Stegostoma tigrinum: one gene and its partner. The protein of the gene in region 1 binds, or shares a complex with, the protein of each later gene. Links are inferred from orthologs where the notes say so. Each region holds a gene or a part of one and is shown in the gene's direction. Other genes may lie near its edges.

The links. The genes of interacting proteins can lie anywhere in the genome.
Region 2: the proteins of rnaseh2a (region 1) and rnaseh2c are in contact, whole or in part, in a crystal structure (PDB 3PUF), measured with the Homo sapiens proteins. The link is inferred for Stegostoma tigrinum from reciprocal best matches to the Homo sapiens genes RNASEH2A and RNASEH2C. Residues at the interface, in NP_006388.2 of Homo sapiens: Thr11, Asn99, Ser102, Thr103, Leu106, Gly107, Arg108, Val109, Val196, Glu197, Lys198, Leu199, Glu225, Pro226, Val227, Phe228, Gly229, Phe230, Pro231, Gln232, Phe236, Leu245, Ala249, Glu250, Asp251, Val252, Ile253, Trp254, Glu255, Asp256; in NP_115569.2 of Homo sapiens: Pro33, Cys34, Glu35, Val36, Ala37, Val38, Ala42, Pro43, Val44, Gly45, Arg46, Phe47, Phe48, Pro50, Ala51, Arg53, Ser62, Phe63, Arg64, Gly65, Arg66, Cys67, Leu68, Leu134, Glu135, Thr136, Lys143, Gly146, Ala147, Thr149.

What each region holds. Positions count from the first base shown.
Region 1 is NC_081388.1:17,345,585-17,353,122, forward strand, and holds the start of rnaseh2a (ribonuclease H2 subunit A), read left to right. Parts: upstream 1-4,524; 5' UTR 4,525-4,640; coding exon 4,641-4,767; intron 4,768-5,362; exon of another isoform or gene 5,363-5,627; coding exon of another isoform or gene 5,628-5,640; intron 5,641-6,010; exon of another isoform or gene 6,011-6,035; intron 6,036-7,538. UniProt on the Homo sapiens protein: Catalytic subunit of RNase HII, an endonuclease that specifically degrades the RNA of RNA:DNA hybrids. Participates in DNA replication, possibly by mediating the removal of lagging-strand Okazaki fragment RNA primers during DNA replication.
Region 2 is NC_081395.1:3,960,441-3,967,796, reverse strand, and holds the start of rnaseh2c (ribonuclease H2 subunit C), read left to right. Parts: upstream 1-4,308; 5' UTR 4,309-4,380; intron 4,381-5,572; 5' UTR 5,573-5,579; coding exon 5,580-5,730; intron 5,731-6,172; coding exon 6,173-6,285; intron 6,286-6,661; coding exon 6,662-6,781; intron 6,782-7,356.

The sequences.
Region 1 (7,538 bases):
GTTTCTTGTTGTAAAGAAGCATGCTGGCATTGTTAGGGAATACTAACTTAAAGACGAAGTACAGTCTTGAAGAATTGGGCCTGTATGGGTTAGAATAAGGTCTATCTACAAACCCAGGCCGTAGTTTTATTTATAATTACTTTTCAAGGAAACAGCTTACTCTTACTTGTGACCTTTCACAATTCGAAAGAAATTGAAGTCACACTTTTCAATGTGCAATCATTGTTGTAATGCAGGGATTCAAGTCAGTCAATTTGTGCACAGTTTTTCGTCATAAGGAGCAGGTATCATGCACACAGTGGATATTGTCCCTGTCTCTGAGTCAGAAGTGTATGAGTCATAATACAGGACATGATAGCCAAGAAAAGCATTCATGATGTGGCCAAACAGGTTTATTATCAAATAAAATCAAAATACTGCAGATGTTGAAAATCTTAAACAAAAGCAAAAACTGTTGGAGAAACTCAAGAGTTCTGGCAGAATATGTGGGGATGGAAACAGTTCTAACATTTGGAGTCCAATATGACTCTTCTTTGGACAGAAGAACAGATTGCTGTTGGACCTGATATTGTTGAGTATCATCCTGAAAATCCTTCCAACACACACAAATGATAGGCTGGAAGAATGGGATTCTTGGTTAGCTGTGTAATGGAAAGAACCTTGAAGTTTCTACCATCTATACCTAACGTCCAGAGTGCAACATGAATATTGTCATAGCAAGTGGAACTCCCTGAGTAAGCTGTAATGCAGCACCTTTGCACACACCATAAACACCAATAATGACCTGATAAAAACCAAGAGAACTGTGGATGCTATAAATCAGGAACAAAAACAAAGTTGTTGGAAAAGCTCAGCAGGTCTGGCAGCATCTGTGGAGGAGAAAACAGAGTTAATGTTTTCGGTCCAGTGACCTTTCCTCTGTTCTGAGGAAGGGTCACCGGACCCGAAACGTTAACTCTGTCTTCTCCTTCACAGATGCTGCCAGATCCACTGAACTTTTCCAGCAACTTTGTGTTTGTGAATAATAACCTGATGTTAACAATGAGGGATAACAATGGGAGAATACCCCTGATCTTCTTCAACTTGATGCCACGTCATCTTTTATGACCTGATGATAAGACAGATAGACCCTTAACTGGTTTAACATTTCATCTGAAAATTGTCACCTGCAACACCGAAGCACTCCTTCAGTACTGCACTGGAATGGCAATCTGGATTACGAGCTCAAATCTGGAGTGCATTTTGAGCTCTTGATATTCTATTTCAAAGGCATTTGAGTTCACCACTGGGCTGCAGAGGTAGTGCTGGAGGATCCAATCCCTGGAATTGGGAATTCTACTCATGGTATTTTTCTTTAGCTTCTAGTCATCTTACATCAATAAAAAGGTTAGGTAGAGATGGTAGAAGCTTCAAGGTTCTTTCCATTACACAGCTAACAAAGAATTTCTCTCATTCTTTCAGCCTGTCATTTGTGTTTGTTGGAAGAATTTTCAGGCTGATACTCAATTATGTGCTGATGTTCACTCTTCCATGTCCATGTTACACACAAGGAAAAAATGTTTGTTCCTGATTTTAACCATCATTGTGCTCTGAGTTGGAGGGCAACATTAGGAAATACTCAAAAGATTTAGTTAAAGTAAGTTTTGATGCTTGATCCTCAGTTGATGGCACTCTATGATCTCGAATTTCTAAAGGAAAACAAGTTATGTATTTTCTCATCACCAGTGCAACATTGTTGGAAAGAAAATGAAAAATCCTGTTTGCTTTGATAAATAAGGTTAAAGGGTTCATTTGGAGCTATATCGCCTTTCCTTCACTGTTGCTGGGTCAAAAATCCTAGAACTCCCCTTTAACAGCATTGTAGGTGGATCTGCACACCTTGAATTGCAGCAATTTGCTGGCAACTTAACATCACCTTCTCTGGAAAAATAGGGAAGGGCAATAAACATTGGCCAAGCCAGCTATGCCTACATCGCATGAATGAATTAAAAAAAAAACCTTTTGATGCAGTTTCAAAGGTAGAAAATAAGAGGCAGCAGAGTATGGTGTTTTGCCGCTTTATATTGTTTCGAAACTCTATACACAATTATTTTTGACAGATAATGTGATTAGTTAGGCAGCTATTTTGTCTTGGTAATATCCTATAAAATCTTGAATCTATTTGTTGCATTATGTTTAAAATATCTCAAAAGTGTCTCATCCAACAAAACACCGAAACCAGGCCTCATCAGCAAAATATTGCACTAGATGACCAAAAGCTAGGCTTTAAGATAACAAAGTGTGGAGCTGGACGAACACAGCAGGCCAAGCAGCATCTTAGGAGCACAAAAGCTGACGTTTCGGGGCTTTAACAGTTGTCTTAAAGAAGAAGAGGTGAGGACATTGGGGGGGGGGGGGGGGCATGGGGCTGAGGAATCAACAGTTGATGGAAAAGAGTGAAAGGCATACATGGATTGTGGGGTAAGGGAGTGGTATTAGGTCTAAATCAGTTGCAGAGATCCAAAGGAATGAGATCATGATGGGAGGTGAGTGTGATTCTGAACATTTTTAGTAACAAGTAGTCTGCAGACTGGATGGCAGTAAAAACCAGCGTTTGAATGTAACATCACATTAGTTAGGATATGGGTAGCAGAGAAACTTAAATTTGTGGATGGTAGAAAATGGTGGACCATCTACAGCATTGGAATAGCCAAGTTTGAAATACAAAGAGCAAATGCATGAACAGTTAATTAGCTTGGTATACAGTTTAAGGAAAATGTTGGCTGAGTCACTGGGAGCCTTGCTTCCTGCTCTTTGAACAGCGTAAAGACACTTCAGTCAACATCCATCTGAAAAGGCCGACATGTTGCTCCCATGGTAACTGTGAGGTAGTTGATTTTATTGCAGATAAAAATAAAGCAATATGCTGAAAATCTGAAATGAAACGGAAATGCAGAGAGGGCTTATCAGCATTTGAAAGGGGAATCTGGGCTAATATTTCAGGTGGAATAATTCATAAGAACATTTGAAGTTCAGAGAACCTTAAAATGAGATCAAGGGCAAATCCTGGATATGAAAAAGCATCACTTGATATCATATAAATATACATAACACAATCCAATGTTGAGTTCATTATTATGTGAGCCCTGTAAGCTATTTTATTGTTGGAGGACTATTTCCAATTTCAATACTTAACACAAAGGCAATGCAAAATGAATGGTCGACTGGCTGATCGCTTCACAGAACATCTGTGTTCTGCTTGCAAAAATGACTGTGTCCTTCCAATTGCCTGCCACCCTAACCCCCGGCTGACATCTGTCTCAGATATAAAACAGTGTGGAGCTGGAGGAACACTGACGGTCAGACAGGCAGCGTCAGAGATGCAGGAAAGTTGACATTTCAGGTCGAATCATTTCTGAAGAAGGGTCCCAACCCAAAAGGTCAACATTCGTGCTCCTCTGATGCTGCCTGGCCTACTGTGTTCCTCCAGATCCACACGGTGTTGTCTCGGAGTCCAGCATCTGCAGTTCTTGCTATCTCTCTCACAGGCTTGCTGCAGTCCTCCAGCAAAGCTCAGCACAAGCTGGGAGAATAACAAGAGATGATGAGAACTGCAGATGCTGCAGAATCCAAGATAACAAAGTGTGGAGCTGGATGAACTCATCAGGCCAAGCAGCACTTTAGGAGCATAAAAGCTGACATTTTGGGTCTAGAACCTGATGAAGTCATTCACCCTCCCAACCAGATCGTTATCAACTCCTTTATCCCTGTCCTCTTCCCTTTATCCTATTATTTACACCCTCTACCCCATAGCCCTCCCTGTTCTCTGCCCTTTATCCTATTATTAACACCCTCTACCCCATAGCCCTGTCCTCTGCCCTTTATCCTATTATTAACACCCTCTACCCCATAGCCCTCCCTGTCCTCTGCCCTTTATCCTATTATTTACACCCTCTACCCGGGAACTGCAGATGCTGGAGAATCCAAGATAATAAAATGTGAGGCTGGATGAACACAGCAGGCCAAGCAACATCTCAGGAGCACAAAAGCTGACGTTTCGGGCCTAAACGTTCTAGGCCTGAAACGTCAGCTTTTGTGCTCCTGAGATGCTGCTTGGCCTGCTGTGTTCATCCAGCCTCACATTTTATTATCTTTTTCCTAGCTACCATCAGTTAAGAGGAAGGGTCACCGGCCCCCAAACATTAACTTGATTTTTTTTCCTTCAGACCTGCTGAGCTTCTCCAGCAACGTCTGCCTTTGTTCCTGATTTACAGCATCCACACTTCTTTCGGTTTTTAATCGCTATTTAAAACGAAATTTGGTTCTGAGTCTTTAAAACTACAACTCCCAGGGGGTTTTGCGCAGAACTGCACATGCGCACCCAGTTAGTGACGAGCAGAACACCAAACGAAATCAAAATTTAAATTTGTGAAAATAGAGCTTTCTGTAAATGCTCAGTGTGGAACTTGTTGTATCTTTCAACAGCATGATTTTTAAAATAAAAACAAAACTGAGTGAAGTGGCGTTCAGGATGGCATCAGAGGTCAAAGGGCAGGTTGCCGCTGAGCGCGGGAGAGATTAGTTTGGCGGTTGCTCTCGAGACATTTAAAAGCGCAGCCATTGTTCTATTTAAGATTGGCGGTTGTTGTTATAATTTTGCAATGGACCTGAGCGAGTTTCAGGAGGACAGCAGTAAAAGTTACCGGCTGGTATCAAAGGTGCCCGCCGCCTGTCGGACTGAAGATTGCTGCCTGGGCATCGATGAAGCGGGAAGGGGACCGGTGCTGGGTGAGAGGCGGGGTATTTGGTTGGGGGAGGGGCGAGGATGGTGTGGAGGAGGGGCAGGGTGTCCTGTCCAGGGCCCTGAGTGTGTGTGTGTGTGTGTGTGTGTGTGGGGCTTGGGGTTTGTAGGGGCGGGTCTAGTGGGTCGAAGGCGTTGGCTTGTGGGGGCGGGTCTGGGAGATGGGGCTTGTGGAGTAGTTCTTGGTGGAGATGGTGCGCTGCTGATCTGTGGTGGCGGGATGTGGGAAGAAGCCTGGATTTGAATCGGGGAGGGGTGGGAAGGTGGGTGCGTGAGTAATGGTTGGATTGGGGGAGTGTGAGAAGGGGAGGGGAAAGCAGAGGGACAAGGAATTTGGGGGAGATCTGGGTCTGTGGGGAGGGACTAATACAGGGAGGGTGGCAAGGACTAAGGGGAATTGGGGAGTGGTTGGGACTGGGTGAATCGGGTAGTGGTATAGCTGTGAATGGCAGGGGTTGGTCAGTAGTTAAGGGGAAGGGTTGAGTTGAGTGGTGGTCTCGGAGAGGAGGAAGGCCTGGTTGAATAACTGGGGGAAGGCCTAAGATTGGGGATGAGGGGTGAGGGAGGGGCTAACTGATTGGGTAAGTGGGTGTAGGTCTGGCTTAAGAGGCCAGGATTAGGCAAACGGAGGAGAGGGTAGGGCGAGTGCTGGGTCAATAATGGAGGCCTGGGGAAAGCCCAAAGGAACAAAGGGGGAGGATCAATTTGAGTGTGGCTGTAGTGGTGGGAAAAGGGTTGGTGAGGGCTGGGCAAATGTGGAGGGGGAGATGGTTAGTTCTGAATGAATAATGGAGGGAAAGGGGGTGTGACCTAGAGGAAATGGCTTCAGGTGCCTCAGTCTTTGATCATGATATCTGCCTGTAAGGATACTGATACTCCTGCTTGCACTGCTGCAAAACTTGTACTGAATATTTATAGACATCACCTCAAGATCCTGGAGAGTTAACGAAATCAACTGAAACAGGAGCTTGATTCGAACATTCAGTTTGTTTAGCAAATGTAGTATTCGAAATGTATCATCTACTTCAAATTTAACAGCTTCTGCCAAAAAATTGCAGCTAATTTAAGATTAGCACAATTCATGCTGCAAGATCAACTGACTTCTTGAGCCAATAAATCTGTCAGAAAATTCTCTTTTGTTAGTTGCTAACAACATTGAAAACGCTGTTCCACTTTGGGGCTTTCCTGTTGAAGTGGAAACGTTTGCCTATTACTTTGTACTGCCAAATAGAAAAGAATAGACAAGAGATTAACAGTAATTAGCAACAATTTATTGCTCTCTTTGAACAATTGCACTGTTTTATTTTGTTTTTAGATTGTTCTAAAGTCATTTACTGCTTGGTGCATTTAATGAGTTAGGTGGTGGAATAAAATGACTAATAATGCTTGTTAATTACCTTGCCAATGATATTCAGCTTTTTTTCACACCCCTGCTCCAGACCAGTGGTGCAGGTATGCGCTGAAAATATTTGACAACCTTTTTCCTTGCTGATGTGCTCATGGTAGGGAATGTCTAAGGAGAGGGCCTTAGAACACAAAGAATGGGAGGGAGAGTTGAAATGGTTCTCGAACTCCACCCTCACCCCCATCCCAGACCCCAAGAAGACTTTACACATCAAGCAGATGTTCACCTGCACTTCTGGCAATGTGGCATACTGCATCTGCTGTACCCTACAAGCCCCTACATCAGGGAAACCAGGCAGAGGCTTGGGGACCGCTTTGCAGAACACCTCCTCTCGGTTTGCAATAAACAACTGCACCTCCCAGTCGTGAACCATTTCAACTCCCCCTCCCATTCCTTAGATGACATGCCCATCCTGGGCATCCTGCAGTGCCATAACGATGCCACCCGAAGGTTGCAGGAACAGCAACTCCTATTCCGCTTGGGAACCCTGCAGCCTAATGGTATCAATGTGGATTTTGCAAGCTTCAAAATCTCCCCTCCCCCCACTGCATCCCGAAACCAGTCCAGCTCATCCCCGCTCCCTAAACTGTTCTTCCTCTCACCTATTCCCTCCCACCTCAAGCTGCACCTCCATTTCCTACTTACTAACCTCATCCCGCCCCCTTGACTTGTCCGTCCTCCCTGGACTGACCTATCCCCTCCCTACATCCCTACCTACACTCACCTCTACAGGCTCCATCCCCACCCCTTTAACTTGTCTGTCTCCTCTCCACCAATCTTCCCCTCTATCCATCTTCGATCCGCCTCCCCCTCTCTCCCTATTTATTTCAGAAACCCCTTCCCCTCCCCCCTTTCTGATGAAGGGTCTAGGTCTGAAACGTCAGCTTTTGTGCTCTTAAGACGCTGCTTGGCCTGCTGTGTTTATCCAGCTCCACACTTTGTTACCTCAAAGTCTTTCATTGGTTAGTCCACATGTTGAAATAACACCAATTTATTTTAAATGCAGCAGGGTTAGTTTCAAAATCTAGACAAGTGTCTTGTGTATAATCTGGATTAATTAAACTAGGAGAAACTGTTGTTCCCAGATGATACGTTTAAGATAATTGACAAATGAACTAAGGAGAAGGTGAGAAATGTTTTCATGCAGCAGGTTGTTATGATCGGGGATGTGCTGACTACGTGGTGGAAGCAGATTCAGTCATAACTTTCCAAATGGGTGTTGGATAGATAGTTGGAAAAGCAACATTTTCTGGATTATGGGAAAATAGCAAGCGAGTGGAATTAATTACAGAGCAATTTTTAAGAACAGGCTGAGGTACAAGGAGGCAAATGAGACTTGCTGCATTTTATAGT
Region 2 (7,356 bases), on another chromosome or scaffold:
GGAGTCAGTGATTCACCCTGACCAAACTTGTGCTGTGCCGGGCAGGAAGATCACTGAGAGCCTCGCACTCATCAGGGATACGATCGCCTACGTGCAGGACAGGCGGGTGGACACCTGCCTCATCAGATTGGACCAGGAGAAGGCCTTCGACAGGGTCTCTCATGCTTACATGAGGGATGTCCTCTCCAAATTGGGGTTCGGGGAGGGCATCCGCAATTGGATCCGGCTGCTCTACGCCAACATCGTTAGCGCAGTCTCGATCAACGGGTGGGAATCGGACAGTTTTCCTGTTAGATCTGAAGTCAGGCAGGGCTGCCCACACTCTCCTGCCTTGTTTGTGTGCTGTGTGGAGCCCTTCGCCGCATCCATCAGGAAGGACATGAGCCTGAAGGGCGTGACTATCCCAGGCAGCGGAGGACTTCAGGTCAAGACCTCCCTGTACATGGACGATGTTGCCGTCTTCTGCACCGATCGGTCGGTGAGTAGACTGTTGGACATCTGCGGCCAGTTTGAACTGGCCTCGGGTGCCAAAGTCAATAGGGGTAAGAGCGAGGTCATGTTCTTCGGGAACTGGGATGACCGCTCCTTCATCCCCTTCACCGTCAGGACAGACTACCTGAAGGTGCTGGATGTTTGGTTTGGTGGAGCTGGGGCGTGCACTAAGACTTGGGAGGATTGTATCACCAAACTGAAGCAGAAGCTGGGCAGGTGGACGCTCCGGTCCCTCTCCATCGCGGGTAAGAACCTGGTTGTCAGGTGCGAGGGGGCTTTTGGTACTGTTATATATGGCGCAGGCCTGGCCTATTCCCTGGGCCTGCGCCGCTGCGGTCACCCGGGCCATCTTCCACTTCATTTGGGGGTCGAGGATGGACCGGGTCCACAGGGACACCATGTACAAAGACCTGGGAAATAGGGGAAAGGGCGTACCGAACGCCACCCTCGCCCTGACGGCTACCTTTGTGTGCAGCTGCATCAAGCTGTGCGTAGATCCTCAGTACGCAAACACCAAGTGTCACTACTTACTGAGGTTCTACCTGTCCCCGGTGTTGTGAAGGATGGGCCTGGCCTTGTTGCCGTGGAACGCTCTGAGTAGTTGGACCATTCCGTACCACCTGTCCTTCGTGGAGACATTTTTGAAAGGAAACACCTTTGACCACAAGGCCGTCAGGCAGTGGTCTGCACGTAGTATCCTCAGGACCCTTCGGGAAAAGGAGAGGGTGGATCCCGTCGTGTAGTTCCCCACGCAGACTGCCAAAGTCATTTGGCAGAATGCCTCATCGCCAGAACTTTCAAACAAGCACAAGGACATTGCTTGGCTGGCGGTGAGAGGGGCTCTGCCAGTGAGATCCTTTATGCATGCCCGGAATCTCTGCACCACCGCACGCTGCCCTCGAGGTGGCTGCGGGGGGGACAAGACTGTCGACCACCTCCTTCTGGAGTGTGCCTATGCGCAGGAGGTCTGGAGGGGGATGCAGTGGTATTTGTCGAGGTTCGTCCCAAGCAGCTCCGTGACGCGTGACTCCGTGCTCTACGGGCTGTTTCCCGGGACGCACACCGAGACCAACATCAACTGCGCCTGGAGGACCATCAATGCAGTGAAAGATGCTCTTTGGTCTGCCCGCAACTTTCTGGTCTGCCAGCTGAAAGAACTGACCCCGACCGAGTGTTGCAGACTGGCGCACTCCAAGGTCCAGGACTACGTGCTGAGAGACGCGCTAAAGCTTGGGGCAGCCGCCGCCAAGGCGCGGTGGGGAAAGACCATGGTATGAAACCCCTCGTCCAGAATAGGAAAAAGGGCCCTATCCTGTACCTGGGCCCAGCTGGTGCCTTCCCCAACTGGTCAGGGGGCCAACGGGGACTGTGCGGGGTGACAACCGCCGGGGTATTTTCTTTGCTTTGGTTTTTTTCTTCTTTGTTTTTTTTCCTTTAGTTGGTGTATGTACCCCCTGGGTATCCCGAAGCAGCTTGCATGACTGGGTAGGTGTATAAATATGTTTTATTTTTTGTACATTTTATGAATAAAGCATATTTTTTCAAATAAAAAAAAGTGACGAAATGTCTGAAAACGTACCTTCCAGCTCAGCGAGCAAACTCACATCCAGAGCCTCAACCTGAGCTACAAATCTTCTCAAAACTCGCTATTACCTGGCTCTCTGGATTAACAGTTCAGCGATAATACCACAAGGCCATCACCCCGCTTCCCCCCTAATTTAAGGTACACCCACAACACTGTCACAGAGTCAGATAATGCAGAAACAGACACTTCGGACCATCCAGTCCATGCCAACAATAATCCCAAACGAAACTAGTCCCACCTGCCTCCACTCTTAGCCCATATCCCTCCAAACCTTTCCCGATTCATGTCCTTATCCAAATGCTTTTTAAACGTTGTAACTATCCCCAGATCCACCTCTTCCTCAGGAAGTTCATTCCACACACGACCAATCTCTGCGTAAAAAACATTGCCCATCACATCCTTTTTAAATCTGTCCTCTCTCACCTTAAAAATATGTCCCTTGGTCTTAAAGTCCCCCATCCGAGTGAAGAATCACCTGTCATTCACTTTATCTACACCTCTCATGTTTTATAAATCTCTGTAAGGTCACTCCTCAACCTCCTACACTCCAGTGAGAAGAGCCCCAGCCTATCCAGCCTCTCCTGATAACTCAAATGTACCATTCCCAGCAACATCCTCTTAAATCCCCTCTGAGCCCTCTCCAGATTAAGAAATCCTTTCAACAACTGGGAGACCAGAACCAGACACAGTGCACCAGAAGAGGCTTCACCAACGTCCTGTACATCCTCAGCATGACGTCCCCAACTCCTGTACTCAAAGGTCTGAGCAATAAAGGCAATTGTGCGAAACGCCTTCTTAACCCCCTGTCTACTTCAAATAATGGGGGACCTGAACCCCGAGATTTCTCCATGACCCCTGGGCCTATTTTTATTGGTATAATTCCTGCCCTTATCGGTTTTACCAAAATGCAGTACCTCACGTTTACCAAATGAAACTCCATCTGCCTCTCCTCAGCTCAGTGACCCAATTGGTCAACAGTACTAGAGATAATGGGAACTGCAGATGCTGGAGAATTCCAAGATAATAAAATGTGAGGCTGGATGAACACAGCAGGCCAAGCTGTGTTCATCCAGCCTCACATTTTATGGTCAACAGTACTCTTTGGGTGAAGATGAATTTCTTCACTGTTCATGACACCAAGTTTGATGTCATCAACAAACTTACTAACCATGCGAGGGAGGGAATTCCAGGGATTCTGACCCAGCGACACTGAAGGAACGTGGATATATTCCCAAGTTGGGATGGTGAGGGGTTCGGAGGGGAATGTGCAGGGGGTGCTGTTCCCATGAACCTGCTGCCCCTTGTCCTTCTGGATGGAAGTGGGTGGTGGGTTTGGAAGGTGCTGCCTGAGGGTCTTTGGTGAGTTTCTGCAGAGCACCTTCTGTGTCGCACCCGGTCCCTCAGCACTGACCCTCCGACAGTGCCCTCTCCCTCAGCGCTGACCCTCCGACAGTGCCCTCTCCCTCAGCGCTGACCCTCCGACAGTGCCCGCTCCCTCAGCACTGACCCTCCGACAGTGCCCTCTCCCTCAGCACTGACCCTCCGACAGTGCCCGCTCCCTCAGCGCTGACCCTCCGACAGTGCCCTCTCCCTCAGCACTGACCCTCCGACAGTGCCCGCTCCCTCAGCGCTGACCCTCCGACAGTGCCCTCTCCCTCAGCACTGACCCTCCGACAGTGCCCGCTCCCTCAGCACTGACCCTCCGACAGTGCCCTCTCCCTCAGCGCTGACCCTCCGACTGTGCCCGCTCCCTCAGAACTGACCCTCCGACAGTGCCCGCTCCCTCAGCGCTGACCTCCGACAGTGCCCGCTCCCTCAGCACTGACCCTCCGACAGTGCCCACTCCCTCAGAACTGACCCTCCGACAGTGCCCTCTCCCTCAGCGCTGACCCTCCGACTGTGCCCGCTCCCTCAGCACTGACCCTCTGACAGTGCCCGCTCCCTCAGAACTGACCCTCCGACAGTGCCCGCTCCCTCAGCGCTGACCCTCTGACAGTGCCCGCTCCCTCAGCGCTGACCCTCTGACAGTGCCCGCTCCCTCGGCGCTGACCCTCTGACAGCGCCCCCTCCCTCAGCACTGACCCTCCGACAGTGCCCGCTCCCTCAGCACTGACCCTCCGACAGTGCCCGCTCCCTCAGCGCTGACCCTGAGCCGGTGACGATGGGGATGAACTACAACTCCCAGAGCACCCCGCGGCCCCCAACAGTCATTTCGCGAGTGTCTTCCGTTTTGTTAGTTGCCACGTGACAGCGGTCAGAGGGCAGGAGGAGAGTGAGGCGGGACCGCGGGACACAAGCCTCGGGTGGGAATGGAGGGAGGATTAGACCGGGGATGGGAGCACAGGGCTGGGGGAGGAATGAGAGGGTTTCGAGGAGTGATGGCGGGGGGGAGGAGTGATGGCGGGGGGGAGGAGTGATGGCGGGGGGGAGGGGTGAAGAGGGTGGGGGGGTGAAGAGGGTGGGGGGGTGAAGAGGGTGGGGGGGTGAAGAGGGTGGGGGGGTGAAGAGGGTGGGGGGGGTGAAGAGGGTGGGGGGGTGAAGAGGGTGGGGGGGGGAGGGGAGGGGTGAAGAGGGTGGGGGGGGGAGGGGAGGGGTGAAGAGGGTGGGGGGGGGAGGGGAGGGGTGAAGAGGGTGGGGGGGGGAGGGGAGGGGTGAAGAGGGTGGGGGGGGAGGGGAGGGGTGAAGAGGGTGGGGGGGGTGAAGAGGGTGGGGGGGGGTGAAGAGGGTGGGGGGGGGTGAAGAGGGTGGGGGGGGGTGAAGAGGGTGGGGGGGGGTGAAGAGGGAGGGGTGAAGAGGGTGGGGTGGGGGAGGGGTGAAGAGGGTGGGGTGGGGGAGGGGTGAAGAGGGTGGGGTGGGGGAGGGGTGAAGAGGGTGGGGTGGGGGAGGGGTGAAGAGGGGGGGGTGGGGGAGGGGGTGAAGAGGGGGGGGTGAAGAGGGTGGGGGGGGGGGAGGGGTGAAGAGGGTGGGGGGGGTGAAGGAGGAGGAGGGGGGGGGTGAAGGAGGAGGAGGGGGGGGAGTGTTGGGGGGTGAAGGAGGAGGAGGGGGGGAGTGTTGGGGGGTGAAGGAGGAGGGGGAGAAGGGGGGGGGAGGAGGGGGGAGAGGGAGTGTTGGGGTGGGAGGGAGTGTTGTGGGGGGGAATGTTGGAGGGGGGTGAGGGGAAGAGTGTGTGGGGTGGAGTGGTGGGGGTGGAGTTGGGTGGTGAGGGGGTGAGATGTGGGTGGGGAATGTATGGTGAGAGGGGGGTTGCGAGTGGGGGAGAGGTACAGCGGGTGGGGGGTTGGGGATGGGTGGTGAGTCGGGTGGAGGTAGAGGGAGGTGGGGATGTGGTGAGAGGTGGGTGGGGGTTTTGGGATGGGAGGTGAGTGGGGGAGAGGTAGAGGTGGGGGAATGGGTGCGGGGGCGGAGATGGGGATGAACTGCCTGCTGTGCCTCGCAGATGTTTCGCTGCCGGTTTTACTTGCTGTTGATTAATGAGGTCCCTCTGATTCCCTACAGGAAGGCAATGGCGGCCGACTCAGTGATCACTGTGGATCTGAGTTCCCTGAAGTTCTCCGCCAGGGACCAGCTTCACTTGTTGCCTGTTGCTATCGAATCTGACGGCAGTGCCAAAGTGGAGCAGTACTTCAGCCCAGCTGTGCGGCACAGAGATGGGGGTAAGGCTTTGGCTGATTGCTCAACCTGGAGGGTTGCACCCATGACCACAACTCCAAGCAAACTCATCCAGCACAGCATTCAGGCCATTCTGCCCATCCAACCTGTGTAGATTTTCTGAATGATCTCTCTCATTCTTCCCTGCTGGTTCCCCTCCTTTTGAAAGTTCCTGTTGAATCTGCTTGCTCCCCCCCCCCCCCCCACCCTTTCAGGCAACACACCCCAGATCAGAACTCACTGCTTCAAGTAAAATATTCTCCTCATCTCTCCCCCCACCCCTTCCTTCAGGGTCTTTTCCCTCCATTTTCTTTGATCTGTATCTCTCTAGTGACCTATCCAAGATAGCAGACCTGTTCCAGGTGTAACCCAGCAACAGGGATGGGCCAAGGCAGGGACGTGCAGGCTATCGTTGGACATATAAAAAAAAAGGTAAATTTCTCTCAGAGTTGCAGGTGTCCTATCGAGGCCGAGCCTTGCAAGGTCGGGATCTTCCTGTGCCCCCTGGATATGTTGGACTTGTTCTGAAAGAGGACCATAAACCGTGCCTGGAGGAGGAGGTGAGACAGCACTCAATATTCAACTGTGAGCGCTCACCCGAGTCTAGGAACATCACCCAGTGGTGGAAGTTACATTCCTTTACAGCCTCCAACAGCACAGCGCTCCCTCGCTGCCAACCCTCCGACAGCATGGCGCTCCCTCAATGTTTACCTGTTGGTTGGCTCCAGTTACGTGGCTCATGTTCCTGAGGTGTACTGAAGCTGTGACCTCTAACTGAGAGGTGCCTATTTGTTAATGCAGGGTGACCTGCGCTGTTGGTGGCAATGTTTTGCTGGAAATGCTCCCTGCTCCTCATCAGGGCCAATATCTTTCCAAAATGACAACCTAAATATCATTCAATGAAATGTCACTTAAAACTTTTACTGTGATTTGCAGGACCGGAACGTCAGTGTTAAATCATCTTTCTCTTCAGTGACTTACTGGAACCTGGGATCTCCCCCAGCAGAAGACGACAGCGTGGTCATGGCGATGGGCTGGACTCAGATTGCAGAAGCTGTAAATCATTTATTACTTTAATCCCTTCAAACCGGTATCAACTTTCAGAACTTCAAACACGGAGACTCACTCCTGAGTCCCAAAACCCTAGGGAAGGAGCAAAGGCTGAATGGGTTAAATAGTGAGGGTGAGATGCACAGACAGGACACATTCCCTCGAGAGGCAGGGGTTAGAATGTGATCCATTGAGGGGTTTATGATGATTGAAGAATTCAGTTGTACCCGTAGAGAAGTCTTTGGTTTCCCTCTGGTTCAGCCCAAGCTGCAGAATCTTCCCCTTTAAAGTCAGCAGGTATGACGTCCCTTCTAGGGGTGAATGGCTTCTTGTTTCTATGTAGCAGGCAAGAGAAGAGGCTAAGGTTTTCCTCCCATTTCTGTGACCAGCAGGAGCACTGATATCTCAATTTTTAATATACTTCTAATTGACCTGTTCAGAAATGTTATTCAACATCTCTGGAGCAGATGGGACTTCAACCCCAAGTCACCTGGCTCAGAGTTAAGAACACTACACCTGTTCCACAGGGAACCCAACTGCCTTTCTCTGTCTTTGCCCTAACTGAGGGCAGGGCAGCACAA